Linked DNA regions of Arabidopsis thaliana. The protein of the gene in region 2 interacts with the protein of the main gene of each other region in a pairwise test. Each region holds a gene or a part of one and is shown on either strand. Other genes may lie near its edges.

Region 1 (4,070 bases), on a different chromosome or scaffold from region 2:
AGTATGCAAAGGATTAGAACTTGCAAGGAATTTCCAGTTTCCTGTTTTAAGAGAGGTATCAGATAATAACTTGTTTGTTACATTTAAATTTGTGATGGCAGGTACTTTATCAATACTAAATAAGTCTATTTTTGTTTTTTTCAAGCCTCCACAATCTTTTCTTACAACAATGGAGGAATATATGAGAGACGCACCTCAGATGGTCGACGTCACATCTGGGCCACTGGTACATATATACTCTCATTGTGGTCCTACTCCTACAGAAACCATGATTTTTCTTTTATAACTTATTTCTAAAAACTTTGTCAACATACAGCTTCTGACCTATACGCCTGATGATGGTCTTACTTCTGAAGATGTTGGACCTTCACATGAAGAACATGAAACATCATCGCCTTCAGATAGTGCCGTTGTTCCCTCTGAAGAAACGCAACTTTCTTCCCAGTCTCCTCCTTCAGTAGAAACTCCACAGAACTTCATTGATACTGATGATCTATTGGTAAATTATGCTTATTACATATGGTCTTGATTTCTTTATTCTGTCATTGTTATCCTTTTGTCTCTGATTCTCTCAGTATTACACACAGGGTCTGCATGATGATACACCTGATCCGTTAGCAATCCTGGACCAAAATGCACTAGCTTTGGCCTTAGTTTCCAATGATGGTGAGCTTCTTGGTCTATGTACTGGAGCTCTAAGTTTGCCTTTCTTGCTTGTCTTTAGTCGCAATTCTGGTTATGTTTCTGTTTCCAGTTGATTCTTCGCCGTTTAGTTTTGGGCAAGCAAGAGATTTGGATCCGTCAGGATGGGAGCTTGCGTTGGTCACAACACCTAGCAATGATATATCTGCAGCCACAGAGAGACAGCTGGTAAGATGTATTCTTGTATTAGTGATAATGGGATGCATCAATTACGTACCATTGTCCTGTTAACGTATGTCACCTCTGGGGAATTGATTTTGTGGCTTCTGAATCATTAACATTTTTTTCTGCAACAAATGCAAGGCGGGTGGATTAGACACGCTCACCCTGAACAGTCTATATGACGATGGAGCCTTGAGAGCAGCCCAACAGCCTGCCTATGGCGTCCCAGCTTCCAATCCGTTTGAGGTCCAAGACCTGTTTGCATTTTCAGACAGTGTTTCACCGCCTTCAGCCGTAAACAACCCATTCGGTCTCTATGAGCCAACCTATCATCAACAAGAGCAGCAGCCACAGCTACAGGTTGCACCCAGCCCTGCAAATCCTTTTGGTGATTTTGGGGAGTTTCCAATAGTTCCGGTTTCAGAACCACAAAGCACCACCAGTTTTGGGGCATTTCCAGTACCGGTTTCAGAGCCGTCAAACACCACCGGCTTTGGGGAGATTCCAGTAGTCCCGGTTACAGAACCGCCAAACACCACCGCGTTTGGGGAATTTCCAGTGGTGCCGGTTTCAGAACCACAAAACATCACTGGGTTTGGGGCATTACCAGTAACCCCGGCTTCAGAACCATCAAACACCACCGGTTTTGGGGAATTTCCAGTAGTGTCGGTTTCAGCACCACAAAACACCACTGGGTTTGGGGCATTACCAGTAATCCCGGTATCAGAACCGTCAAAGACCACCGGTTTGGGGGAATTTCCAGTAGTCCCGGTTTCAGAACCGCAAAACACCACGGGTTTTGGGGAGTTCCCGGTAAACGCAGGTGCTCATGAGCAACATAACAGCAACAACCCCTTCGGCAGCACGGGCTTCTTGTGATCCCATCTTCGTATATTTCTCAAAATGCTTTATTTGTCTCATATGATTCTATTGTTTGTGAGTAGTAATAAAATCACATCATCTTCTAGTCTTGCAAATCTTGTTCTGCTAATAGAGAAAGACTCCTCGGGATTGATTATATAAATGAATTTTCATTGGTGGAAAAAAAATGAAAGATATATATAACTCATTGTGTTACATTAACAAAATAATTTGAAATATGATTAGCAAAAACGCTACGTAGTATGTCGTTTTCTGTTCTAGTAATCCAGCTAGGCTGAACCAATGGCCATTCGTTGAATAAAAAAGGAAGATTGGAGGAGAATTAGGTAATTTAAGGGTAATAGTCAGCAGAAGTCATTCCCATATGTCCACGTCAGTAATCCTGCTCGAGAAAGCTGCTATAAACTCAGAGCCGTTGGATCAACCCGTAAGTTTGAAAACCCCAACCGTCAGATCAACACTACAAGTTAATATGAGAATAATGAGAAAACCACTTTCCCAAATTGCTTTTTAAAATCCCTCCTCACACAGATTCCTTCCTTCATCACCTCACACACTCTCTACGCTTGACATGGCCTTCGATCTCCACCATGGCTCAGCTTCAGATACGCATTCATCAGAACTTCCGTCGTTTTCTCTCCCACCTTATCCTCAGGTGAAGTACACCCCTAAAATCTCTCAATCTCTCTCAATTTAGTTTCTGAAATTTTGGTTGAAATTTGTGTTTAGATGATAATGGAAGCGATTGAGTCCTTGAACGATAAGAACGGCTGCAACAAAACGACGATTGCTAAGCACATCGAGTCGACTCAACAAACTCTACCGCCGTCACACATGACGCTGCTCAGCTACCATCTCAACCAGATGAAGAAAACCGGTCAGCTAATCATGGTGAAGAACAATTATATGAAACCAGATCCAGATGCTCCTCCTAAGCGTGGTCGTGGCCGTCCTCCGAAGCAGAAGACTCAGGCCGAATCTGACGCCGCTGCTGCTGCTGTTGTTGCTGCCACCGTCGTCTCTACAGATCCGCCTAGATCTCGTGGCCGTCCACCGAAGCCGAAAGATCCATCGGAGCCTCCCCAGGAGAAGGTCATTACCGGATCTGGAAGGCCACGAGGACGACCACCGAAGAGACCGAGAACAGATTCGGAGACGGTTGCTGCGCCGGAACCGGCAGCTCAGGCGACAGGTGAGCGTAGGGGACGTGGGAGACCTCCGAAGGTGAAGCCGACGGTGGTTGCTCCGGTTGGGTGCTGAATTAATCGGTACTTATGCAATTTCGGAATCTTTAGTTACTGAAAAATGGAATCTCTTAGAGAGTAAGAGAGTGCTTTAATTTAGCTTAATTAGATTTATTTGGATTTCTTTCAGTATTTGGATTGTAAACTTTAGAATTTGTGTGTGTGTTGTTGCTTAGTCCTGAGATAAGATATAACATTAGCGACTGTGTATTATTATTATTACTGCATTGTGTTATGTGAAACTTTGTTCTCTTGTTGAACAATTATTGCTGCTTTGATTTCATTTTCACACTTAATAATGAGGGGAAAACTATGTAATTGGTAATGCTAAACATTCATTATTGTCACTAATTTAATTATGCTACAGTTAGCAGAAGAAAGAATCACTGTGGAATCAGCGCGGGAGTTGAAAATTTCAAAGGGAATTCAATTAGAAAAATCTGTGAAGCGAATGTGTGTAATCATTATCAATAGGGATTGAAATAGAAACTGTGAACAGAGTATGGAAGCTTTTTGGCATCCCCGTGAACAAAAAGGACAAAACCTTGTTTTCGTAAAGATTTTAGAGTGGGCCACTAATAGACAAACTTTGGGGTCATAGTCAGATGTTCTAATCATCTCACGGGTTTCAGTTCCCCTTAGACATGATGGCCAAAATTCATCCATATCATATCCAAATTCATCAAAGAAAAAAAAAAAAAAAAAAAAACCAGGTTCATGTATCAAATTTACTCATCAAAACCATGTATAATTATCTTCATTACTCATATAGCACACACCATATAAACACATATGACATATATTAATATTAATACAATCAAACATAGATTAATGTATAATTTGAACACCCAAACTCAGAGTTCTAACTCGGTTTCAAAGCCTCGAATACACATTATAAACTAAGCACACAACTTAACACATATATATATACAAGTGTTTTTATAACTTTAGGAATTTCAAGACCTAGCTTAGTTAGTTAGGCTCCATTGTTGGCGTAGGTATTAACGAGAGCGAGCGCATTACTCGTGAACCTCTTGACGTCGGCGACTCTATCGCAAATAGCCGTCTTCGTCTCTCCGT
Region 2 (4,087 bases):
ATATTTGGAGTGTGCCACAAGAAAATAAGAAATGGACAAAGTAAAGGTATTCTTCATATTTACGGCAAAATATACGGTGACCACCTATAATTGTAATTATAACTCGAATTTTGGTCTCTAACTTTAGAACGAGTCCTTTAATCATTGGTCCTTCAACCAAAAATGCATATATATTTCATTAGAAAAACTATTTGAAGAGATCACCTTACGTTTAAGCCAACTTGCTTTCGTGTTAAGCTTATCAAAGACTTGATATTTAGTTATTTACTAATATTCTTGTCTTGGCGAAAACATCATCTACTTTAAGAGAGGAACGAACTAAGTATATAACCCAAAATTGGGAAAAGGAAGAAGAAAAAAAGAAAAAGAAGTAGCAATTGAGTGTTTGGTGTAATATATCCAGTTGAGTTTATTCGCTTTTGTACTTTTTTTGCTTTAAAAATATTTTGAGTTGGAGTTTGCTTCTTTGACTGATCAATTGAATCTCTCGCTCCCCAAGCCAAAGAAAGAACACAAGATGTTGCTTTTGATCATTGCCAAGAATCTCACTTCGTAATTCTCTTTAACTTTACCCTTTTTATTTTCGTTCTTAGCTTAAACAGTACTATTTCACCTTAGTTTCTATCATCTTTAAAAAATAATAATAATAATTCTACTATCTTAAGTTCTTAACATATATATTTTCATATATACATTTTTATGTCTAAGAAGCTTCAATATTAGATCTACTGTTTTCAATTCCCTGGTCCAATAGTAGTGATGACTGACATTGTTCTAAAACGACAAATAACTAAAGACTTCTCTAAATTTGGTTTTTGAAAGTATATATGTATATATGCATGGTAGTTCCACATTATCTTCTCTACCCGAAATTCAGATTTGACAACAAATATACATAGTTCAATATTTTTGTTATGGTGATCGATATCAAAATAGAAAATGAATGTTTAGACGAGGGATGAGTGAAAGGAGCTTGGTAATCTAAGAGAGACAAGATCCTTAGAAAACCGTGACATTGTCACTCACGTGGGCCTCTTTTGACCAACCCCGTCCGACACTAAAACTGCAGATACACAACACTTATCATTATTACTTTATTGTATCGGCACTAAGAGCATCTCCATTGGTGATAAATGGAGATGTCTTCCCAGTTTTTTAATATTTAATTAAAGACACAAATGAAGAAAGAGAAACAAAAATGTCTTTAACCAGACACTGAAGACATCTTTGAAGACCCTCTTGAACTATGTGTAATATTCTGATTGGTTTTGATTTTCTTAGTTTAATATTTAGATGGTCTCAGATGAAGTTGTCCAATGAAGATGGTCTAAAAGATATTATTTCATAAGATCTTTTAAGTTCATCAAAATATATAAATGCCAAATCTACTGTATTTTTCTTACTAATGTTAAACTACCTTTACTAGTGTGCTTGTATTCACTTTTATTTGAAACAAACATCAAAAGGAGACTACTCATTTCATGTATTGTTTACATGGAAAACTTGTTTTGAAGATATCCAATAAAAATGAAACGAGTCGGAGATAAACTACGTTTTCTAAGGCGAGGAATAGGATTAGTAAAAATATCATGAATTTAAATTTGGATGTAAACAACTGAAATAAATATACTCTTGGTTGATGTCAGTGTGGAATTCTTGCGACTTGCGAGCACACATAACTCGCCGACGAAGTCTTATTGCTTACTGTATCAAATCGGCGTCGAAAATAGAATTGTCGAATAATTTGTCTTCCATACCAAGAAACTCCGACAAAAATAATATTCAATGATTTAAAGCCCTAGAGAATATTCATTTTCATTGTAGAATTGTTGCTTTCTTTAGATAAAGTAACAAATAATGTAATCTGCACTACATTAATAGATTCGATCACATTTAGCTACCACAGACCAAATTCCCTTTTGTCGTTACTTAAGTTTCCAACTGTCTATATATATGTACCATGTCTCAGTTTGTAACTTGTAACTTAAATCACAAAGCCACCAAAACAACACGCATATCTCTATCCATTTTTTTTCTCTCTATCTGTAGTCTTCAATTTCATGATGGGATACCAAACAAACTCTAATTTCTCCATGTTTTTTTCCTCGGAAAATGACGACCAAAACCACCACAACTACGATCCTTATAATAATTTCTCTTCATCAACTTCTGTTGATTGCACTCTCTCACTTGGAACACCCTCTACTCGTCTCGACGACCACCATAGATTTTCTTCTGCTAATTCTAACAACATCTCCGGCGACTTTTATATTCACGGAGGAAACGCTAAGACTTCTTCGTACAAGAAGGGTGGTGTTGCTCATAGCCTACCTCGCCGTTGTGCTAGCTGCGACACCACTTCAACTCCTCTATGGAGAAACGGACCAAAAGGACCTAAGGTAATTAATTAATAGATCATGTACGATCAGATAATGTGATAAGTGTCAATGCCGAGATGACCATAGGTCCATAGATAAATATGCCTAATGAAAATAGTACATGGATTGTTGAAAAAGTATTTAGATTGTAATGAAAGTAAAAAAGTATGATTTTGGCAATTCAAAACTTCAAAAAACTCAAACTGTTATATACCATGCGGAACTATTCTATGAAAAATTACTATTATTTTTCTAATCAAATTTTGTAACATCATATACTTTCTTGGTTGTTTTATATTTTTTTTTTCCATAAATACATTACCCTAAACTATTTTTATTTTTATTTTTTTGTTAATAAACTTTACCCTAAACCATAAAACAAAATAAGTGATTTCTTTTTAAATCTTTTTAATTCAAGTTGTATAAAGTCTATAAAGTTGTTCCCTAATATTTATTATACAATCTCCATATAATCACATGTCTATAATAACTACATTTTCAAAGATATTTTGGATGTAACATATACAATGTTAACTTGGTGCAGTCGTTATGTAACGCGTGTGGAATCCGATTCAAGAAAGAGGAGAGGCGTGCGACGGCCAGAAACTTAACGATCTCCGGTGGAGGTTCATCAGCGGCAGAAGTCCCAGTAGAGAATTCGTACAACGGAGGTGGAAACTATTACAGTCATCATCATCATCACTATGCCTCGTCGTCGCCGTCGTGGGCTCATCAGAACACACAAAGAGTTCCATATTTCTCACCGGTTCCGGAGATGGAATATCCCTACGTGGATAACGTCACGGCTTCTTCTTTTATGTCTTGGAATTGAGTGTCACGTGAGCAAGTCCGACTTCGATCGCCTTCTTTACCATTTTGACGAGATGAAGAAGAAACGTTAATTATATAAATCATGATGATGATGATGAAAAGTTAATTATCATAGATTCTATCACACAAAGTAAAACCAGTCTTGGTCAAATTCATTATTGTTATAGTTTTTTTTTTCGACTCTAGCTACTTGTGTTTTCTTTTCACGACTTTTTTGAAAGCTATATTGGTGTTAATGATAAATACGTAGTTTATAACCCTTTTCATGATGTTTCCACTTACTTTGACCGTATATGATACATATATTTCAACTTTACTTCATATCGTCTTTTTAAGTCTTTAACATTTTTCGATGCAACGTTAAGTGATCTAGTTTTGCTTCTTTTTAGCAAATACAAATACCGTCCTCGCATTTTATTTCATATCATATGAATGCAAAATTAGCCAAAAGGGTATTGTTACTTAAATTTGGCGGATTTTCTAGCTCTTTTCTTGGTTCCTACACAAAAAAAAAAGTATTTAAAAGACAAGTTTGAGAATTGAGATCACTTATAAGGGAGACAAATCTGAGTGAAACAATTAGTGAGGGGTCATGAGGCAAAGTAATGTAAGTGGAAATTACTTGCTAAAAATCTGTTCCGGGAAGAGTGAATTTCAAACTCCTAATGAAATGTTTTTCTATCTACAATCTTGGATACTATAATTGTTGAAAGAGCTTGTAGTAATGGTAATTATGTCTTTGGTGAGTATAAAATAAAGTCAACTGCTTCAGAACATTAACATGTTCTTGACAAATAACATAAAAATATGCTTCCCACCTCAGCAAATATTTACCCAAAATCTCTTGCAAGTCGTTCTGTTTTTGGGTTTTAAAAAGA

Evidence for each region.
Region 1: the proteins of GATA20 (region 2) and HMGA interact in a two-hybrid assay, tested with the Arabidopsis thaliana proteins (one large-scale study listed by BioGRID).

What each region holds. Positions count from the first base shown.
Region 1 is NC_003070.9:5,137,601-5,141,670, reverse strand, and holds HMGA (high mobility group A), read left to right. Parts: upstream 1-2,203; 5' UTR 2,204-2,317; coding exon 2,318-2,401; intron 2,402-2,475; coding exon 2,476-3,006; 3' UTR 3,007-3,555; downstream 3,556-4,070. Other genes in the region: AT1G14910 (ENTH/ANTH/VHS superfamily protein), read left to right, coding at 1-55, 146-226, 317-499, 588-666, 755-870, 1,006-1,743; AT1G14890 (Plant invertase/pectin methylesterase inhibitor superfamily protein), read right to left, coding at 3,967-4,070. UniProt on the Arabidopsis thaliana protein: Binds A/T-rich DNA with a highly dynamic distribution into the nucleus.
Region 2 is NC_003071.7:7,981,991-7,986,077, reverse strand, and holds GATA20 (GATA transcription factor 20), read left to right. Parts: upstream 1-1,951; 5' UTR 1,952-2,060; coding exon 2,061-2,399; intron 2,400-2,922; coding exon 2,923-3,210; 3' UTR 3,211-3,522; downstream 3,523-4,087. UniProt on the Arabidopsis thaliana protein: Transcriptional regulator that specifically binds 5'-GATA-3' or 5'-GAT-3' motifs within gene promoters.